3 linked regions of the Canis lupus familiaris genome follow. The protein of the gene in region 1 interacts with the protein of each later gene in a biochemical or structural test. Links are inferred from orthologs where the notes say so. Each region holds a gene or a part of one and is shown on either strand. Other genes may lie near its edges.

Evidence for each region.
Region 2: the proteins of FGA (region 1) and PLAT form a complex in vitro, tested with the Homo sapiens proteins (2 studies listed by BioGRID). The link is inferred for Canis lupus familiaris from reciprocal best matches to the Homo sapiens genes FGA and PLAT.
Region 3: of the proteins of FGA (region 1) and FAM20C, one has a biochemical effect on the other in vitro, tested with the Homo sapiens proteins (2 studies listed by IntAct). The link is inferred for Canis lupus familiaris from reciprocal best matches to the Homo sapiens genes FGA and FAM20C.

Annotation. Positions count from the first base shown.
Region 1 is NC_049236.1:52,603,986-52,611,258, reverse strand, and holds the start of FGA (fibrinogen alpha chain), read left to right. Parts: upstream 1-3,190; 5' UTR 3,191-3,295; coding exon 3,296-3,349; intron 3,350-5,517; coding exon 5,518-5,643; intron 5,644-6,112; coding exon 6,113-6,296; intron 6,297-7,273. UniProt on the Homo sapiens protein: Cleaved by the protease thrombin to yield monomers which, together with fibrinogen beta (FGB) and fibrinogen gamma (FGG), polymerize to form an insoluble fibrin matrix. Fibrin has a major function in hemostasis as one of the primary components of blood clots.
Region 2 is NC_049237.1:24,199,779-24,207,090, forward strand, and holds the start of PLAT (tissue-type plasminogen activator), read left to right. Parts: upstream 1-3,311; 5' UTR 3,312-3,477; intron 3,478-7,312. UniProt on the Homo sapiens protein: Converts the abundant, but inactive, zymogen plasminogen to plasmin by hydrolyzing a single Arg-Val bond in plasminogen.
Region 3 is NC_049227.1:16,641,742-16,649,153, reverse strand, and holds the start of FAM20C (extracellular serine/threonine protein kinase FAM20C), read left to right. Parts: upstream 1-3,411; 5' UTR 3,412-3,558; coding exon 3,559-4,157; intron 4,158-6,017; coding exon 6,018-6,196; intron 6,197-7,412. UniProt on the Homo sapiens protein: Golgi serine/threonine protein kinase that phosphorylates secretory pathway proteins within Ser-x-Glu/pSer motifs and plays a key role in biomineralization of bones and teeth.

The DNA.
Region 1 (7,273 bases):
TCCTTGTATTATTTGTCTCCTGTTCATCTCTTGGATTCCCGGCTAGACAAAACCTACTTCTCCATAGGTTATAATACAGCTTGTTCATGGGAGGGAGGGCCCAGCCTGGTAGGGTTCAGTCCTGCAGGGTCAGGCCAAAAGAACGCCTCACACAAAATTCCTAGTTACAGAATTCTGGCACTGGAGAGAAGACATGGGAACTTTCAATTTTGTGGCACTGGGACATTCTAGGAACAACAAAAATGACCATTTCTGGGTCTTCTAATGTGTATATCCAAGTTATGTGCCATATTATATAATTCTCACAGGAACCCTGCAAGATAAATATTGCCATCCTCATCTCACAGATAAGTAAACTTGCTCAAAAAAGCAAGTTTGGCTAAATCTATGTGACTTAGCTAGAATCCAGATCCCATTCTCTGCAAAGGCCATTCTTCTTCCACTGTACTGTGCTGCCACTGTGACAGCCTTTCATTCCTCCAACAAATACTTATTAGTGTTTACTCTAGGCCTGATCTTTTTTTAAGATCTTATTTATTTATTTGAGAGAGAGAGAGAATGTGTGCAAGAGAGCACGAGTTGGGGGAGGGGCAGAGGGAGAAACAGACTTTGCTGGGCAGGGAGCCCCACATGGGGTGGTGACCTGAGCTGAAGGCAAACACTTAACCGACTGAGCCACCCAGATGCCCCTCTATGCCTAATCTTGTACTAGGCAGTGTGCTTTGGCCTCATGAAGCTTAGTTTAGGGGGACACAAACAAATAACTTCCCAAAATATACATTTTCTTGATAATGTGATAAAATATGAAGGGATAAATACATGATGTGATAAAATATATGATAAAATATGAAGAGAAACAAAACTTTGTTAAGGGTATGGCTGTTCTGTAAGTAAGCTGGTCCAAGAAGGCGTCTCTGAGGAGATACCATTTGAGAAAAGACTTGGATGTACTGATTCTTTAAAAAAAAAAAAATTATTTATTCATGAGACATGCAGAGAGATAGGCAGAGACAGGCAGAGGGAGAAGCAGGTTCCTCGCAGGGAGTCCCATGTGGGACTTGATCCCAGGACCCCAAGATCAGGACCTGAGCCAAAGGCAGACACTCAACCACTGAGCCACCCAGGTACCATGGGACAAAACATATTAAAATGTATTTGCCATTTTTCTGAAATTCAAATTTTACTGGGCATCCTGGTTTTTTTATGTACAGATTCTTGAGGGAATCATGGAACAGCAATAAGAAAAGCTAAAGATAGTACCTTGGAAATGCCTTGATGTGGCTCAGAACTGGGGCATTCCACCAAATGAATGCTTTCTGTTCAAACTGTTTTCTGTTAACTTACTTTGAATTCGATTATGTTCAACCGAATCACCTGAAGCCCACCAGGTTACTCCCTAGGAGCATCTTCCATATACTGTGTTCACTTCCCAAGAGGAACACTTCCTGCGAGCAGACAAGTCACCTGAAGAGGTCAGGCCTCCCTCAAGTTTCTATCCATGCCTGGCATTTTGCCAGTTTAGTCACTGCCGATTGAGAATAACTCAACTTTCCATGGAATCTCTGTCTTCCAGAACCTGGATGGGCTCTAGGGTTCCCTTTTGCAGCTGCCTCTAGAAATCCAAGAAAGCAACATCAGGAGTGAGCTTGATCAAAACCTTCCATAGAGCAAGCAGTGAAGGAGGGTGCTGCCTTATACCAGGACTTTCATGCACTTACAGCAAGCTTCACATGCCTATAGTGCCTGAGGGCATGGCGGGTCAACTTTGCCCTCATGTTTTCTTGCTCAGTGAGGGCCCATGCTTTTGGGACAACAGAAAGACCAATTAAAATATGTCCATTCTCAACACTGTGATCTAGTGAAGGATAGTACTCCTACAGTGGTAAATGCCATGAGTGGTACATGGTCTAAAGAAGTATGGAAGAGCAAGAGATTGCTTTTAATTGGAGAGATGGAATAAGGTATGATGTAAAGTGTCTAGCAAACTCCGTGGCACTTAGCAAACACTCAATAAGTATTAGGTATTACTATTATCAGAAATGACTTCACATAGGGACCAGAATTTGAGGCAAAGTAGGTTTGCCAGAAAATTACAAGATGCACAGTTAAATATGCATTTCTGATAGCACTTTTTAGTATATGTATGTCCCAAAGATTGCATGGGACAAAACATATTAAAATGTATTTGCCGTTTTTCTGAAATTCAAATTTTACTGGGCATCCTGGTTTTTTGTTTGCTAGATCTGGCCAAGGACAGTTTTCATATGAAGATGAAAAGCAGAGAAAGTAGACTGGCATGTCCAAAGACATAGACACAGGAAAGAAATGGTATTTTTTCATGGCACTTTATGTTCCCTAATAGTTGTTAACACTCACTGAGTACTTCCTACGTGGCAATCACTGCTCTGAGGGCTTTACAAAGATCAACTCATTTGTTCTTCATAAAAACATGTAATTTGCCCCAAAGCACAGAGCTGGGAAACGGTGTAATTGAGATTATGAACATAAGATGTTTGGCTCCAGGGTCTACTGTCTTCATCATATTGGATAGAGGAAAAGAATCCATTCAAGGTAACTTATAGAAGGACTTCAGGGTCAGCCTATCACTACTGTCATTTTTTGAATATTTATTTATTTTTATTTATTTATTTATTTATTTATTTATTTAGAAGAGGGGGAGGGACAGCATAAGAGGGAGAAGCAGACTCCCTGCTGAGCAGTGAGCCAGAAGCAGGGCTCCATCCCAGGACCCTGAGATCATGACCTGAGCCGAAAGTAAGAGTCAGATGCTCAGCCACCTGAGCCACCCAGGTGCCCCCACCACAGTCATTTTTAAAAAGTCAGATCATCCAACCATAATTCCTACACAAAGTGAAATATTTGCCAAATCTCTGTTTGCAGTGGGCTACTGCTAGCCTGCCTCAGCCACCCTCCATATTGTCTCAAGTACTCCAAGTACTCGAGCAGGGGTACATCTTCCTATGTTTTCCTCTTGCATTTCTAAAGTCATCCTGTTCCTGGAATGTGAGGTTGTCCTGGAATTGCCCCAAGGTACCTTTGCAACAGCTTATCAAAAGCAAACAAGCATGGGGGAATTGAGCAAGAAATTCTGGGGCACCATCCTTAGAGAAGCAGCAAGGGTTGTAGAGCGCATGTTGACTGTCTAAACAGGACAAAGATAATGATTAATCAAACCTCCTTGCAGATTTAAAAAGGATAGGAACTAAGAGTGGAGGCAGTCTTCCTTTCTTTCAGCTGGAGTGCTCCTCAAGAGCGAGCTCCACCCTTAAAAAAGATGTTTTCTGCGAAGATCTTGTGCCTGGTCCTGAGTGTGGTGGGCACAGTCTGGGTATGGCCGCCTTTACTTTCTCTTCTTGCTTTCTCTCTGGTGTTCATTCTGCAAAACGCTTGCAGGTCTGAGTCAGTCTTAAGTTTGTCCTTGCACACTGTTGACTTTATAAGCTCTAGGCCATGGAGGCAAGTTCCTAGATGAGTCTGACACCTCAGGAGTAAGAGGGAGACTTAACTGGACCAATGAATAGAAATTCACAGGGGAAGCTTTGGTATCTGTAATTCAGCCTTACAACATTGTTTATTTGTTTTGAGGGAAGAAATCTTTGCCATCTTTGTTCCAATAAAGCCTTGGGATAGTTCATGCTAGCTAACAGAAAAAAAGCATTCTTCTGATGAGAATTTTAAAAATCTAATGATTAATTTATTGCTAGTTGTCCATAATAAGCAGAACAGTGGTTTAATGTAGTTTTCTGAAAGGTTGTTTGTGGGTGTGGGTGTGTGTTTTTAAAGAAAAGCAAATTAGTTGTCTTTGAAAACATCTAAAACAATATTTTATTACATATTACATAGTCGGGAGACATTAATTGAGAAGGCAATATCCTTTTTGTGGGAAGGAATCTTTTAAAATAATTACTAAATATTGCTATAATTTCTAAAGTTTGACTCCAGAGACCTATAGAAGAGAAACTTCATTCAAGATGCTTTCGAAACCCTTAGATCTTATAAAAACATGATAAATATGTTTAAGAAACTCAATTACTTTCAGGATATGAATTATTCCAATTTTTTTCTTTCCCTTCACCACTCATAAATCCTACTATCAGAGCAAAAGAACTAAAGAGGTTTTCTAACCTAATATTCTTCCTTATAGTAAACTAATAAGTAAAAAATTTGGAAGACTAACATCATTTACTAACATGATATGTTGGATATCTCTCCCTTATTGACATAAGTATTGAATTTTGCCTATTTTTATTGTTGTGCCATTTTATTCTGAAGTATGTTTGAATTTATAATTTTATTTCTTAAAGATATTGTACTTGTTCCTTTAAATAAACTGTCCTTAATTGCTGATTTATTTATTATTATTATTTTTATTGTTAGGATACTTTAAAAAAATGAGACAGCAAATATTAGGTAATTATAAGAATAAACTAAAAAAAATTATAAGAATAAACTATTCAAGGGAGTACCTGGTTAGCTCAGTCGGTAGAGGATGTGACTCTTGATCTCTGGGTTGTGAGTTTGAGTCCCTACTGGGCATAGAGAGTACTTAAAAACAAACAAACAAAAAGAATAAACTATCCGAGATTAAAATAGTCATAGCAAAAATCCTTGGTATGTTAGTGATACAAAATAAAAATAGCTAAAACTTAAAACTTATCTTGATTTATTAGGATGTAAAGTCTAATTGGAAGATTTTTATGTCCTATTTCACTTCATAGGTCACAATAGAAATTTTTTTAAAAATCTGTATTTCTGATTAGAGGGTGCTCAAAAAAAGTTGTCAGTCCATTATTTTTCTTTCAGTCTACTCTTTTGCATTGCAAAAGGAAATTATTAAAATTTCCTTTATAATTCCTTTATATTAAAGGAATATTAAAATATTAAAATTCTTTTATAATTAAAATTATAATTATTAAAATTATAAAAGGACATTATTACATGAGCGGGTAACCTCAAAAGCATTTTCCAGTCCTTATTGGCCACATTTGTATCCTTGGTATGTTCTTGCTCAAATTACGGACCCATAAGACCGAAGTAGAAACTTGAAGTAGAGAGAAATTAAACTAAGGTAGTATAGGTTTGGTCCTACTAAAACAGAAATTATAGGAGAAAGAACTCTGAATTTTCCAAATACCCTTCCATCTCCAGACATTACTGAAAATGAAAAGGTAAATTTTAATTACTTTTGTTGATTCAAATATTTTCTCTTCTATAATAAATCCTTTAAGACACCTAGCTTCATTAAATGCTTGTTTCGTGTCCAACACAGTTAAAAAATGTCTATACCCTGTCTCCTTCAATTCATAAAACTCCATGAAGTAGGTATTTGGATTTTCAATCAAAATGTAAGAAAAATGAAGCTTGCAGAGGCCCCAGAGCTGCTGCTCTTAATCTCTGGGAGAACCCTCCCCTCCTTGGGATTTACAGGCTTGACAGTGTCTTCTCCTTATCTGCCTAATGCTGTTCTCTTTCGTGTGTATGAATGAATCCGTAAAGACCACAAATTCCAAAGAAGGTGAATTTATAGCCGAAGGAGGAGGTGTACGTGGCCCAAGAATTGTGGAAAGACAGCAATCTGCCTGCAAGGAGACAGACTGGCCCTTCTGTTCCGATGAAGACTGGGTGAGCAATGGGCATAGGGAGGGGGATAATCCTCCCCTGTGGTGCTAGAATTGTGCACAAACTGACCCAGAAAGTCACAGAAAACTTTTCCAACGGGTAATAATCTAATAACTCATTACATGCCAAATTAAAAAAGACAATTGGAAAGTAGCCTCACCATGAGAGCACTATTTAAATTACCTCCCAAACCCTGGGTCATTAGTGGGATTGATAGCTTGGATTTTAGTTGCATGTTCCAGCAAATGCCAGGAACCTGAGTATTATGGCTTCAAGATTTTGTGGAGCCTAATTTATGGTTAAGTGGACCTTCATTCCAGAATTTCTCTATGACTAGTTCTCTCAAACCACTTTTAAGTCAATAGATGATCAGAGGATGTTGGGGGAGGGCAATGGGAGCCACATGGAAACTTTTAAAATTGTACTGGATTCAAGATAGAGGCTTTAATATAATTTTCCCCTTCCCTTCCAGAACTACAAATGCCCTTCTGGCTGCAGGATGAAAGGGTTAATCGATGAAGTCAATCAAGATTTTACAAACAGAATAAATAAGCTCAAAAACTCACTCTTTGACTATCAGAAGAACAATAAGGACTCTAGTTCATTGACAACGAATATAATGGAACTTGTGAGAGGGGATTTTGCCACTGCCAACAGTAAGTAGTAACATCTGGGCTTTGACTTTATAGCGCACAACAGAGAAACAACCAAGGCCCTAAATAAATACACTGTCTCCTTATGGCAACTTCCAATTGTATTCCAAAGTACTTAAGATAGAAACACATGCCTTCACGATACCCTGAATTTTAAGGAGGGGCTTGCTTTTTGTAAAAGGAACATTAAAAAGGTCAGTTTAGAATTAAAAACAGTCAGTTTAGAATTGTTTAAAGTCATGGAACTCCTGGGTGGCTCAGAGGTTGAGCATCTGCCTTTGGTTCAGGGTGTGATCTCAGGGTCCTGAGATCGAGTTCCACATCGGGCTCCCCGCAGGGAGCCTGCTTCTCCCTCTGCCTGTGTCTCTGCCTCTCTCTCTCTCTGTCTCCCAGGAATAAATAATCTTTTTTTAAAAAAAATTGTTTCAAGTCACAAAATTAAGTCTGAACTTTGTATTGAAGACTAGAATTTATGTGTGTTCTTTTTTAAGAGTATATACTGAAAATAAGATGAGCAAAGCCTTTTGAGTAGATCTTGTTTCTGTCTTATAGAGGATGGAGAAAACTGAGAGATCAAGGGACTTACTCGAAGACACAAAGCTATCATGTGATGAGGCTGGGAGTTCAGTTTACAAACTCCATCAGGCTGTTCATGTTTTGTTTTTTTCAATTTAAGATATAGAATCATGCTCTGTATTCCTCACAGAACTATGACTAAGTCTCATTAGGACTAGGAAACACTGGATTTGCTCTTGGAATGGGAAGCAAGTTTAGTGATGGCCTAGCTCCAGAAGCTTTGACTCTTTATACCTTTAGGGACACTTGACTAATTTAAAATCAACAATGCAACAGCAATGGCAGGAGAGTGATCCTATTGACCTGAAAAAAGAAAATCTCAGGAACAATTTCAGATCTATAGGTAGGAGGGAAAACTCAGAAAATCCAAGACGATGTTTAAGTATGTTATCATATTATTTAGC
Region 2 (7,312 bases), on another chromosome or scaffold:
ATAGGCAGAGGGAGAGAAGCAGGCTCCATGCACCGGGAGCCCAACTGTGGCATTCGATCCTGGGTCTCCAGGATCGCGCCCTGGGACAAAGGCAGGCACCAAACCGCTGCGCCACCCAGGGTTCCCTGTTTGTTTCTTTGCTGTTGAGTTTAATAAGTTCTTTATAGATCTTGGATACTAGCCCTTTATCTGATAGGTCATTTGCAAATATCTTCTCCCATTCTGTAGGTTGTCTTTGAGTTTTGGTGACTGTTTCTTTGGCTGTGCAGAAGCTCTTTATCTTGATGAAGTCCCAATAATTCATTTTTGCTTTTGTTTCTCTTGCCTTCATGGATGTATCTTGCAAGAAGTTGCTGTGGCCAAGTTCAAAAAGGGTGTTGCCTGTGTTCTTCTCTAGGATTTTGATGGATTCTTGTCTCACATTTAGATTTTTCATCCATTTTGAGTTTATCTTTGTGTATGGTGTAAGAGAATGGTCTAGTTTCATTCTTCTGCATGTGGATGTCCAATTTTCCCAGCACCATTTATTGAAGAGACTGTCCTTTTTCCAGTGGATAGTCTTTCCTGCTTTGTCGAATATTAGTTGACCATAGAGTTGAGGGTCCACTTCTGGATTCTCTCTTCTGTTCCATTGATCTATGTGTCTGGTTTTGTGCCAGTACCACACTGTCTTGATGACCACAGCTTTGTAGTACAACCTGAAATCTGGCATTGTGATGCCTCCAGATATGGTTTTCTTTTTTAATATTCCCCTTGCTATTTGGGGTCTTTTCTGATTCCACACAAATCCTTTTTTAAAAAAATTTATTTGTTCATGATAGACACAGAGAGAGAGAGAGAGAGAGAGAGGCAGAGACACAGGCAGAGGGAGAAGCAGGCTCCATGCAAGAAGCCTGACATGGGACTTGATCCCAGGACTCCAGGATAGAGCCCTGGGCCAAAGGCAGGCGCCAAACCACTCAGCCACCCAGGAATCCCCTGATTCCACACAAATCTTAAGATGATTTGTTCCAACTCTCTGAAGAAAGTCCATGGTATTTTGATAAGGATTGCATTAAACGTATAAATTGCCCGGGGTAACATTGACATTTTAACAATATTAATTCTGCCAATCCATGAGCATGGAATGTTTTTCCATCTCTTTGTGTCGTCCTCAATTTCTTTCAGAAGTGTTCTGTAGTTTTTCAGCTATAGATACTTTACCTCTTCGGTTAGGTTTATTCCTAGGTATCTTATGCTTTTGGGTGCAATTGTAAATGGGATTGACTCCTTAATTTCTCTTTCTTCAGTCTCATTGTTAGTGTATAGAAATGCCACTGATTTCTGGGCATTGATTTTGTATCCTGCCACACTGCCAAATTGCTGTATCTGTTCTAGCAATCTTGGAGTGGAGTCTCTGCCCTATGACCCAGCAATTGCACTGCTGGGGATTTACCCAAAGATACAGATGCAGTGAAATGCTGGAACACTTGCACCCTCATGTTTATAGCAGCAATGTCTACAATAGCCAAACTGTGGAAGGAGCCTCAATTGTCCACCAAAAGATGAATGGATAAAGAAGATGTGATCTATATATACAATGGAATATTACTCCGCCATTAGAAACGACAAATACCCACCATTTGCTTCGACGTGGATGGAACTGGAGGGTATTATGCTGAGTGAAATAAGTCAATCAGAGAAGGACAAACATTATATGGTCTCATTCATTTGGGGAGTATAAAAAATAGTGAAAGGGAATAAAGAGGAAAGGAGAGAAAATGAGTGAAAATATTAGTGAGGGTGATAAACCATGAGAGACATCTAACTCTGGGAAACGAACAAGGGGTGGTGGAAAGGGAGGTGGGTGGGGGGTTGGGGTGACTGGGTGACGGGCATTAAGGGGGGCACTCGGCGGGATGAGTACTGGGTGTTATGCTATATGTTGGCAAATTGAACTCCAATAAAAAAAATATATATATATATATTAAAGAAAGAAAGAAAGAAAGATTTCAATAAAAATAAATAAATAAAAAATAAAGACTTTTTATACCACCTCTCCATCCCCGCTGAACCAAATTGCCATGAAAAGCATGTCCTGGCTCCATGCTCTGTACCTAACTTGGCCCTGCACTTCTCCTTTTTTATAATAGCCATTGGCAGAGCTACTGTTCCAAAAAAAAATAGAAACACCCTTTGACTTTGGGCCCAACTACCTGATTTTCCCACCTCAAAATCAGCCCTCATTGCTTGAGTACATTCAGGATCAGAATATACGGAATCTGGCCTCCCCTAGAAGAGCCTTCTCTTGTTCTCTCTTTTCCCACTGCCTTGTCTCAGCCACACACCGACCAATGATACAGATGCCATGTATGGAGCCCTGCGATTAGACATCGTTGCTCTAATCCATGCCCGTGACCTCAGCAGTGGGAGCTCAGCACGACTACAAACCCTGGCTGAGGTCACATCCCTCATTACTGGTACGGCTGGCTCAAGCCTAAGCCTCTCCCTATACTTGCAGCTTATCAGTCATTGGTAGGTGTTAACAGGTCAAACAGGTTGCCCCGTTTCCAGGAGCGGTTACATTTAAGAGCAGACTCCAGAACGGGGAAAGCTTCCCTCAGTTTAAGGGATGGATAGCCAAGGAGAGGATTCAGGTGAGGCTGTGCAGAAAAAAGGTTTAGACAGAGCGTTGGCTCAACAGCCCCATCCCCACCTTTATTCCATATCCCACACGGGGAATACTGGAGCTGAAGACCTCAGTCATCACTTTGCAGAGAAGTGCAATGATTATCTCCATGATCGTGGGGCTGAGGAGTGGCAGGGCAGGTGCCTGGTGCAGATTCCAGGCTGGGGTACTTTCCACTGCCCTGCGTGCCTTTGCTTACCGCCGCCCGCCAAGCCCGCACCCCAGGTGCTCCAACCCTGGCACTTCTGCTCCTGGAGGGAACCAGTCAACCTGTCCAGTTCTTCCAACCTCTTGTGCCCAGAGGCTCAGAATTCCTGGGGGAGATTCCTTCCGGAAGAACCCCTGGGGCCTCCTCCGTGTGTATTTGTTTCAAATCGTAAATTCTTGCTTCCAAGATAGGCTTACAGCCAGCTGATCCAGAGGGTCCCATTTAGGTCATAGTCTAGGGCTTTGAAGGAAAATGATTGTTAAGGTTCCGTCTAACTCCCAAATTCCTGTGATTCGATGACATCAGGATTGTGAATAATCCCGCTGGCCCTGAGCCAGGTTAGGCTGTGCTGCTTCCATCACAAACTTCCTCCCCCTCTTTAGGAAAACAGGCCGGGCCCCATCGGGCACCCTGCTGGCCCTGTCCAGTGGGCATCCTCCAGCCGCAGAGAAACCCGCCCACCAGGGCCCCTGACCCCACCCTCTGCCTTGAAATGTAGGCAGCCCGGAGCTGCGCGGGGGCGCTGGAGCCGAGGCCTGCGGGAGCCGCGGAGGAGGCTGCCAGGGGCGAGGAAGGACGGCGAGGAAGGCGAGCGGCGGCGGTAAGCTGAGTTCTCTGCCTCTCTGCCCGCCCGGCTCCTCTTGTCTCTCTCAAAAGTCTTTCTGGCAAACGGAGCCAAATAGAGGAATGCCTTCACGAGGGACTGACTTTGTAATTCAGGCAAAAAGCGGATTAGCTGGAATCCGAGCCCATAGGGATCCTTCTTTTTGCATCTGCATTTCATTGGGTTAGGCTGAAGCGTTTTGGAGGAGCGAGGGCGGTCAGGGGAGAGACAGGGGGAGGGTTCATTTCTTTGAAGAAGAAATCTCTGCTTGCAGGGTCAAAGGAAAAGTGAAAAGAATCAGAGAAATGCTCTGAAGAGACAATGGGAGCCCTTCATGACTAAGGGGCAAGAAAGTGGAGTCAGCTGCCCTGGCTACTGGTGGCTCTGCGAGCCCGGAGGGTCCAAGGGGGGTGTCGGGCTGCCTCCCTCCCCCAGTGAGCCCAGTAAGAAGCCCAGGCTGGGGATGGTGGGGGTTGCGCGGCGGGTCACTTGCCTTGGAGCTTGGTTACCTAGGTGGGAAGTGCTGGTGATCAAAGGACAAAAGACAGATGGGACTGTCAGAGAAAGGCCCCCAATCCCCAACCCTCCTCCCCCCTTCCCCACGTCCCCCTCATTTCAACTGGTCAGCTTGTTCCCAGGCGTTTTGCGCAGTGTGCAAGTGTGAGGTCCTCTGTAAGGACTTTTCAATTACAAGGAGGAACAGAACATCAATGCTCTTCTTCCTAAGGCACTCTGCAGGGAGCATATTAGGGCTTTCCAAATTTTCAGTTATTATCTGTATTTTCTTAACCTCCCTGGGAGGGAGGGCTGGAGGGAGCCAGGAAAGGAGGAAAACCCACTGAGCTCCCAGGTAACTAGCGAGAAACTTAAATGCAAAGAAGTGTGGAAATGATGATTTTTCTGGAGCTGAAGTTGGATTAATAATAGTGATCTCCGGTGGTGGATTGATGATGGAAAAAAATTAGATTGTGTGTGTGTGTGTGTGTGTGTGTGTGTGCATTTGCAACTCCATGAAGAGATCCTGCAAATACAACTCTGAAGTGGAGTCCCCTCAAAGGTGACTTCCTAGCAGTTCTTGCCCATGGGCAGGAAGACTCATCCTGGGATCTAGACACTGACTTGTCCAGAATCAATATATGACAGCGTGAGCCAGACTAGGTACCTGCAGAGATTTGTGAATATTGAAATAGAAATAGCTCCACACAACCCATCAATTTATTCTACCTGAAGTGTTCTCAGAGACACCAACCTCAAAGCTCTGCATCTCCTCAAGAATAAGTGGTAGCTTCTCTCCGACCAGTGGCTCAGTCTCTGTCCAGACTCCCTTAGACCAACCTAGTTTATTTTGTGATGCCTCCTATCAGATACTCCTGGTGTCTGTGCTACTGTCAGTGGCTTCCTCACACGCTGGCACAGTTCATGCAGCCAGGGAGTAGCTGAGGGACAGCAGTGCTTTGTGCTCACTGAGGAGGAGCTCTGGGACTCGGCTTCATTTCCCTGGGTCATAACATGTTGAGCAGAACCGTGCTCAGTACATTTCAAATTACTGTAACCAGCAGCCCAGCCATACCCAGTGACCATATTGATCTAAGGTTTTTGTAAGTGACTGGCTGGGACTGCAGAACATTTGGGGAAACTTACTGTCCAGGGGAGGCCTGTTACTAATCTGCAAATGGCAGCTTTTCTGGTTATGGGGTTTTATACCAACTGAAGGGCCCCTTTGATGAAGATCATCATTTGGAAGGAGCAGCACCAGCTTCAGGACTTCTGAAGCTTCTAAAATGTGGGCAGGTTATTGTCTATCAGAGAGCCAAGGGGGCAATATTGTTCACAGCAGTGGTGGTGAACTTAGCTCCAGTCGAAATTCAAAGTCCATACACTTCTCAGAGATACTGAGTGCCTGATGGTGAGGAAGGATTTAGGTTTTGAGTTGAAATGTTCAATTTTACTTGGTTATTTGGCATTGTGCATCTGCAGTCTCAGAATAAAATTTCTACTACTGTGAGTGAATTTCAGCTCTGCTCTGATAAGATGGCTAGGATGGACAATGAGTGACCAGAATATTCTATTCATTCATTTTTTTGGTTATTTACTTTGCATGGAAAAATTCTTTTTTTGTTGTTTTTTTTGTTTAAAGATTTTATTTATTTGAGAGAGAGAGAGAGAGAGAGAGAGAATGAGTGGGGAGGAGAGGAAGAAGCAGGCTCCCCATTGAGCAGGGACCCCAATGCAGGGCTCAATCCTAGGACCCCAGGATCATGACCTGAGCCAAAGGCAGATGCTCAAGTGACTGAGCCACCCAGGTGCCCTGAAAATTTCTGTCCATACTTTCAGGCTATAAGCCTCATCTTAGCCAGCCAGCTCACAAAACTGCACGGTAGTCTCAAATCAAACCGGATAAAGGAATGAAGACAAATTTAGACTCATAGAAAGTCAGAATTAGAACCTTAGAGATCATTTGCTCTGGTCCAACCCCAAGTTCAGCCACACGGCCTCCGAATACTGGCTTAGTAGTCTACTTCCATATATAAGAATAGCATATATTCTTGGTGATCTTTTGTTACATTCTCCTGCCCGAGAAACAGATTTTTGGAGAAGAGGGTAAAGCAACAGACAAGCCTCTTGATACCTGAAAAATAACATGTACGACAGAAGGGAAAAGGAAACACATGCAGGCATGCAGCAGGCATTTCATAAACATTTTTTAAAAGATTTTATTCATTTCTTCATGAGAGACACAGAAAGAGGCAGAGACACAGGCAGAGGGAGACACAGGCTCCTCACAGGGAGCCCCATGTGGGACTTGATCCCTGGACTGGGATCATGCCCTGAGCCGAAGGCATCCCTCATAAACATTTTTTAAAGAGATGACTTGGGCAAGTTCTGGTGCCTAGTATGGTTACCCAGACAATACTAACTAACTGTTCTTCCTATAAAACTAATACAATTGTGTGTCTTTAGCAGCTGCCTAACACCATCTGTGCCAACAGCCATGATTCTGAGGGTGACTCTTGGCCAGCAGGCCCAGTTTGGCTACGTGATCCTCCTGACAACATGTATCAGTGGTTTGGAGAGGTTGGTTGGACTGATCTATAAAACCTGATTCCACCCTGAACCTTGGAAGTAACCCACTTCAAGGTCAGGCTGAACCTAGATATGAGGCTATCTTTGTATTCAAAGCCTTTTCTGTTTATTATATGGTCACAAATATTCCATTTATAACCAGACATTAGGGAATCAAAACTGAACTCGTGTCCCAGAGGCTCTTATATCCCTTGGAACTCTTGGGCTTTCCAAACCATACTTCCTCCTAGAGATGCCCTGGGAGGGAGAGCCTGGGGTGTGTGAATCATATTCCTTTAGCCAATGGACGGTGTTTGTGCTGAAGAGTAAGGGGCTCTGGCTGCTTGCTGCTATCACCCTGCACCCCAAGCAACGGTCACCTCTTGGCAATATGCTCTGTCAGGAGCACCTCTTCATTTTGTTCAACAAGCAACTTATATAACATCAGTTCCAGGAAGCCTACATTGACCAGCACCTTACCTCAACAAGAGGGAGCTAGATCTCTGTCCTCCACATTCTACTAAACCCCTTCTTCTGCTGCATTTCACCTTCTATCCCTACCTCCCTGCATACCACAGCACTGATTACATTGTACTGTGATTGCCTAATTACTTGTCTGTCTTGTTCCTAAACTATGAGTTTTTGAGGATAGAACATATTTGTCTTTATACCATAGGGCCTGTGCCTAGTACAGGGTTGGCGCTCAATGAATGTCTGATATTGAATACATAGAGTTGTTAAATATTCACCCATGAATTCAAGAAAGGAG
Region 3 (7,412 bases), on another chromosome or scaffold:
ACCTGGTCTTCCAGGGCCCATCCTGGGGCACTCCCCTTCCTTACCCATGGCAGATTCTTTATTCTACTTTCAAATGTCTGAGCCCAGGACATGGGGAGCCCACCCCACCCGGGTCTGACCTGCCACCTCCCACCTTTACGGCTGTGCTGCTGTTGCCATGTGGGCACAGCCCCAAGCCAGCCTTTCCTGCCCTGAGGCTACCACGTCTCTCTGTCTCTATCGTCTGGTGGCTGCTGGCCTCCTGTGGGTTGCCCTAGCCTGCTGTCTCCATCACTCAATTCCAACCTTGAGGAAACTGCCAGACATCATCCCATCCTAGGACCGTGTCACCTTCAGCCCCCCACCCAGACCCCATTCCCACAGACCTCCAAGTTGCTTATTCTTTCATGTGCACATTTCTGACCAAATGTCACTTTCTCAGGGGTCTTCCTTCACCTCAGCCAGAATGTCCAATTCCCTCTCTCGGCTGCACCAATTTGATTTTCGACATAATTCTTGTTACCACCTGACTTATTTTACATCAGTTCATTGGAGCTCCAGCCCCCAGAACTGTTCCCTGGTCTCTGACAAGGCCTCATGTCAGTCCCCTGGGGCCCTTCCCAGAGCAGCCCAGCCTGGCCCCCAGGCCTTTGTCCAGAGACCATAAGGCAGAAGCCTGAGGAGCTTCAGGCACTATGTGCACGTGTGCATGTGTGTCTGTGTGCATCTGTCTGTGTATATGTGTGTGTGAATGTGCCTCTCTGTGTGTGTCTGTGTGTGTTTGTTTTTTGTGATTTCCACAGATAAATGGATTGAACCAAATCAAATTACTCCTCAGAGCAAAGTATAAAGACACTAGGCATAAAAATTCAGCCAAGGGTTTTCATGGTCCGTCCCCTATAGCATGTGCTCGGTTTTCAAAGGCCATTTCATGTGTGCACCTTAGCTTGCTAACACCTGACCCCAAGTTGGATGGTGGCTTGTGGTCTGCTCTGAGCACCTGCTCTGCACCAGGACAGAGTTGTGAACAAGGCATCATGGAAGGCTCCTACTTAGTGGGGCATGTGCCTTTTAGGGGAGACAGGCCATAAACAAAAACAGAAGATGTTGCCTTCCAATAGTGGTGGGTGTTGTTGGGAAAATAGAATGGTGGGACATTGAGGGAAGGGGGTGAGGATACTTTGAAACCATGTGGTCAGCGAGATAATGCTTCTTCAAGGTGATAGTTGAAATGAACCAAGGACTATGCAAGGGAGCCATCCAGTGGTGAACAGAAGTCCAACTAAGCTCCCCAAAGAATTTAGCAGGGGAGGGGCATGAAAATAAGCTCCCCTCTACATGATGTCTACGGTTCATGGGGTCAGGCCACCCCACAGCCACCCTGAGGACATGGACCAGGGGACCGCTGAAGCAGCCAGAGGCTACAGAATCCCAAGGCCAAGGAAGACGTGTGGAGCTCAGGGTCCTGCTCCCTTCGTGAAAGGGAGCCTCCATCTCAGCGTGGACGCCGTCTCCTCGGCCTCTCTGGGTAACCTTGCCCAAAGTGACCTCTTTGGCACACAAATGGCGCCGTCAGTGTGGGAAGGAGGGGGAGCTCCATCTCCAGATCAGATCCACGCTCACACTCTGCCCGTCCAACTTCCATTTCCAGCTCCAGAAGGGCTGAGTGACCTTTTCACTTACTTCACTGACCAGCTGGGCGGGGACTCCTCTTCTTCACCACAAGCAGCTAGTGGGTGCCTACTGCATGTTGGGCCCTGGGCCAGACGCAGAAGTGCTGTGAATGCAGGTAAGGGGAAACTGAAGTCCAGAGAGGGCAGGGAGATGCCCAGGCAGCACTGCAAGTGCACCAGACAGTGGGGGCACCCCGCCAGGCTCCCCACCAGAGACTGCTTCTCCACAGAGAGGCTGAAAATTCACAGTGCCTTGAGGGCATGGGGCAGACAGCCTGTTTGCTTGGCTGCGGATGTGTTTGGACTGCCTTCCCCGGCCAGGGTCACTTACACTTCTCACCAGGACTTTAGACATTCACATGAATATTCCCCACTGGGGGCCCAGAAGAGGCCACGTAGAAGTGGCCCGCCCCTGGGTATGGGTGGGTGATTCTGCGCGTAGGAAGCAAACGGCGCACACACACCAGCCAGGGAGGTGCGGCCTCTGCAAACGCCAGGTATCTCTCAGTGCCAGGCGAATCCTTGCACGGGGGCGCCCGCGCCACCAGAGTTAAGGCGCAGGCGTGTCCCCTTGGGGTGGGGTGAGGCCCGGCCGGGCGCAGGGGCAGCTCCGGCATCCCCTCCGGATTTGCTATTGGGCCGAATACCGAGCTCCTCGCGTTTCTTTCGCGGCGGCGCCGGGGCTCCCCCTCCTCCCCGGCCGGCAGCGGGGCGCGCGGGGGCCTCCCGGGGCGGGGGCGGGGGGCACCAGGTCGCCGCCCGGCGGGGAGCTCGTCCGGCGGCGCAGACGCCCCGCGGCTCCGGGGAGGGACTTGGCCTGGGCTCTGGCCCTCGGCTCATCTGGGGAGGAGCCGCGCGGCTGCAGCTGGCGGCCGCCGGCCCGGGCAGGCGAGGTCCCGCGAGCGGCGGCCCGGCCCGGGGGCACCCCCGCCCCCCAGCGCCCGCGCCCGCTCCCCTCCCGCAGGAGCCGGCCCGCTGCGCCCGCGCCCCCCGGCCTTCGTCTCTCGGGTCTCTCCGTCTTCGCTCGGCAGCCGCGGGAAGGAGGCGCCCTCTCCTTCGCGGGCCCGGAGCTGCAGAGGCGGCGCGGGGCGCGGCCGAGGGGAGGAGAAAGAGGGAGCGGAGTCGGCTCGGGTCTGGCCGTGACTCGCGGGGCGGCGTCTCCGCCAATCTGCGGGCGCTGACGCGGGGGGCGGCTCCGCGGCTCTCGGATATCTGCCGGCCCGGGCGCGGGGCGCCGAGAGGCTCCGCCGGGCGGGCGCTGCGCTCGGGGGACGGCCGCTGCACCTGCCTGGGGACTCCCCGGCCGCCCCGCGCGCCCCCCGCCCTGTGCCCGCCCCCGCCCGGTCCCCGCCGTCCTGCGCCCGGCTCCCCCCCCAGGTCCCCGCCTCCGGGCCGCCGCGGGAGGGAGACCAGCCCTGCCCGGAGGAGCCGCCCCCTCTCGGCCGGGCCGGCCCACGGAGCGGCGGAGGGGACTGCGCGGAGCCATCTCACCGCCACCCCCAGGCCGCCGCGCCCTGGCCTAGATGGGCCGCAGCGTCGGGCCCCCGCGCGCCGGATGAGCGCAGAGACCCCAAGCCGGCCGCTGCGTGCGTGCGGCCTCGCCGGGCTGCGCACCCAGCTCCGCGGACGAGGGCCGCTGGGCCCGGCCGCCGAGGGCGCGGCCGCTCCGGGGAGGCGAGGGGGAACGGCCCCCGAGATGGCCCGGCGAGCGGGCTCTTCGGCGGTGGGCGCCCCACACGTGGTGCGCGCCGGGGGACAGCCCTGGAGCTGGTAGCCGGCCGCCGCCAGATGGACCTTGACCTGTGCCTCGGCAGTGCGTTCGTGCCAAGCCAAGACTAGCCGGGGCCGGGCGGAGCGCGCCCCGGGAGGGCTCCCGGAGTCCCAGGCGGCGCTCGCCCGCGCGGCCATGAAGATGATCCTGGTGCGCAGGTTCCGCGTGCTCATCCTGATGGTGTTCCTGGTGGCCTGCGCGCTGCACATCGTGCTGGACTTGCTGCCCAAGCTGGAGCGGCGCGCCGTGCGGCCCTCGGGGGAGCCCGGGTGCTCGTGCGCGCAGCCCGCGGTGGAGGCGGCTGCGCCGGGCTGGGCCAAGGCGCGGGGACGCCCGGGGGAGCCCGCTTCCGCGGCGGGCGACGGGGGCTGGCCCAACAAACACACGCTGCGTATCCTGCAGGACTTTAGCTCCGACCCTTCCTCCAACCTCACGTCCCACTCGCTGGAGAAACTGCCGGCCGCGGCCGACCCGGCCGAAGGCGCCTTGCAGGGGCAGGATCCCGGCCGGCCCCGGCCCCGCGATCCCGCGCACCGGCCACTGCTCCGAGACCCCGGGCCGCGCCGGTCGGTGCCGCCCCCTGGCCCGAGCGGGGACAGCTCTCTCCTGGCGAAGCTGTTCGAACACCCGCTCTACCAGGTGTCCGTTCCACCGCTCACCGAGGACGACGTCCTCTTCAATGTGAACAGTGACATCAGGTTCAACCCCAAGGCGGCCGCTGAGAATCCTGACTGGTGAGTGAGGCCGGAGGCCGCTCAGGGTGGGTGCCTGCAGGCCCGGAACCCTCAAGCAGCCATCAGCCTGTGCTCCCCTTTCCCGCAGATGCCCTTGCACATCCAGGCATTGTTTAAAGAGGCGTAGGGGCTCAGGAACCCCCAGGGGGCATGGACCCCTGTGGCAGAGTCCCCACCCTGGCAAGGAGAGCTCTGTGGGGCGGGGCAGCATGGTGCCTCCTACTCAGGGCAGTGCCTTTGTCTCTGGAGTGACTGCCTCCTTGAGAAGGGCCTCTGGGTGGTTTGGGAGCTGCTCCCTGTGGAGTCAAGGGAGGGTCAGTGCTGACTCTATAGCAGAGCAGTTGCTGGCCTGCAAAGTCCTGGTCACTGGCTCTAGAAACTAAGTCAGGCAATGCATGCCCAAGCTGGCAAGGAAGCGAATGAGAGACAGAGACTGCCCCTTACCTTTCCCTGGGGAGCTGCTGGCTGCTAAGATTTTAGATTCTCGGCGACATTTCTCTAGTGGACACGTCAGGAAAGTCTGCAAAAGCCTAATGAGCCTTGTAAGCCAGCCGCTGAGAACAAAATTAGCAGAGGGGCGTGCTGGCCCCAATGAGGCATAACAAAAGGGCTCTCCCAGCCGGGGTGCAGACAGCAGCTGCCCTTGGAACGGTGCCAGCTGCGTTGGGTGACAGCTTCATAAAAGGTGAGAAGCATCCTCAGGAGCATCGCTTTAAACTGTCCTGGTTTAAACAGGATCCCCCACCCCCACCCCACGCCCTCCTCGGCCACACAGATCAGAATAAACGGATGCTACAGCCCAGAGTAGTGAAATATTAACTAGCAGCAAGGCCAGAATAAATACCTACCTGCAAAAGGTTACCCAAGGAACTCAGGGGGAAGGCCAGCTTTCCAAAACATCTTATAAAAATCCTTTCTACCCTGAAATTTGACCAGGCCCAGGCTTTTCTGTCTAAATACACCAAGGTGCTTGGTGGCCTCTGAGCTTTGTCTGCTGGCCAGGTTCAAGGAAATGCTTAGAAACTTGAGAATCAGAGCAGTGACCTAGGCCTGGGGCTCTTCCCAGGAGAGACAGCCCAGGGCTGGGGGTCAGTGATGTGGCCTCTGGAGGACAGGACCCGGGGCCAGAAGGGCCTCATCCGTAGGTGAATTAGAGTTAAGACAGGTTCCACTTTCCCTCCAGCCCAGCCGCAAATAGGCTCTGTCCTCCCCCAGACTGGCCCCTCAACTCCAGAGATGTGAGGAGGGGCCACGTGGGCGGCAGGTCCTCACTTTGGGCCTCAGCTGGAGTGAGTGCCTGACTCTTTCCTCTCTCCCCACCCAAGACTGCTCTCGTTAAAATCAAATTTAGCTTCTTGCATCATTTCTACGCTTGGTTGTTGGAACCAAAACAGAGCGTCCAGGGAAGGTTTCTGACAGGCGGGGCGTGTCTGTGATGTGCACACAGCTCGTGGTCAAAGATGGCTTGCTTGTCTGCCCCCAGGAAGAAGTGACAGCCTCCCCTACCCCAAGCTGACATAACACTTGTTGGGCTGTTTTCGTGACCCCAGGACAGACGCGGTAGGGCCTGGCACTGATGTTCTGGGCTCAGTCTTGATTTAGTTATAGCTGTCTGGGCGTCTCCCGAGGGTAAGTAAGAATTACAGTTTAGATATGTTATTAGTTAGTAGAACAACAGCCGCGGAAAAAGTACAGGGTGTCCGCAGGGTCCTGTCTGAGCAGAGGCATCTTTGAATAAATCTGCATTTGTTTAGATCCAAAGTTAAAACCTTGGCATTGGCACCAACTCCCTCTTATTCATCCAGATTTTACCACCCTGTTCTTTCCCTGCTGATTCCGGGTCACCTTCATTTTCTGTAGGCCACGTGAAGGCACTGAAAATGAAGAATTCTTGCCCACGGGGGAGGCGGCAGTGGACTCCTACCCCAACTGGCTTAAGTTCCACATCGGCATTAACCGGTACGAGCTCTACTCCAGACACAACCCTGCGATCGAAGCCCTGCTGCGCGACCTGAGTGCTCAGAAGATAACCAGTGTCGGTAGGTGCCCTCACTGTGCTTCTCAATGGGGTAGGGTCTGCTGGGTGGGGGCTGGCTTTCCTGTGGAGGAGAACTGGGAAACCATGGCTCCTTGCTGGAACATTACCTCCTGGAGTGATTTATGAGGGCAGCCTTCTAGAGGGACAAGCTTGCGAGGCCTGTAAAGGAGGGGAGGGATACCTCTGAGCAAGGCCAGTGAGGGAGGCAGAGGTGCTGTCGCGTTCTGCAGGGGCGAGGAAGGAGCAGGCACCCCTGCTGACTGGGGCGCCTCCCTCGGCACAGCAGGAAGACAGCGGGCAGAGCTCAGAGACCCGCTCTGCCCTGCTCCTGCCCCTGCCGTTTCCATGCACAGGGAGTGACCAGGGCTCAGCTCTGCTAGGGTGGAGGCCCATGCGCTTAGTAATTCAGAGGCAATATCACCGAGTACTTTGGGATCTGCTGAATTGGACAAAAAAAGGCATCCAATTACTGATTTCAGGGAAATGTGTCAGCAGCAGTTTCTGAGCACGGAGGTTTGGGGCCATTGTTCTCAGGCCTGTAGGCGATCATTTGTGAAGATCCTCATTAGTCACCGTGGCTTCCAAGAGGCAGTGAGGGATGGGCTGAGGCCCTGGGGTGGAGGGAACAGTCTGGGGGCTTTGCAGGAAGCTGGGCTGAGTTCACACCGCGGGAAGGGGTGGAGGGAGGCCAGTCGGGGTTAAGGCGAGTGTAGGCCCCCACCCTGTGCTGTGGAGCAGACAGTCCGAGACACTGTCTTCTTGGCATTCCCCTAAGCAACGCTGATGCCCTGGGGCTCGGTCCAGCTGCTGACACAGGGGAGTGCAGCTGACAAGTGGGTTTTCCAGAGCTCTTTAAGGACTGTGTTTGGCTCGCTCTGCCCAGTACTGAGGTGTCTGCTGGGCATCTACTTGCTGTGTAGCCTCTCTCTAGCCTGTGATTGCTCACCCTTGGGAAGGGGAGCGAACAGGAAGAAGCTGGTGTTTCCTCTTAACTGGCTGCACCTCCCAGACCCCCATCCTGCCTCGGCCTTCCCCGTGAGAAGCTCAGCCTCCCTCCTGCCATGCGTACAACACAGACCATCCCGTGGACAGCCACGGCCAGGGTGCCCCTTTCACTCTTGATAATAGACGAGGCCAGTATCCAGGGCGTTGACTCACTGGTTCATCCACTCAGAAGATTTTCTTGACCATCTCCTGGATGTCAGGCCACTTTCTGG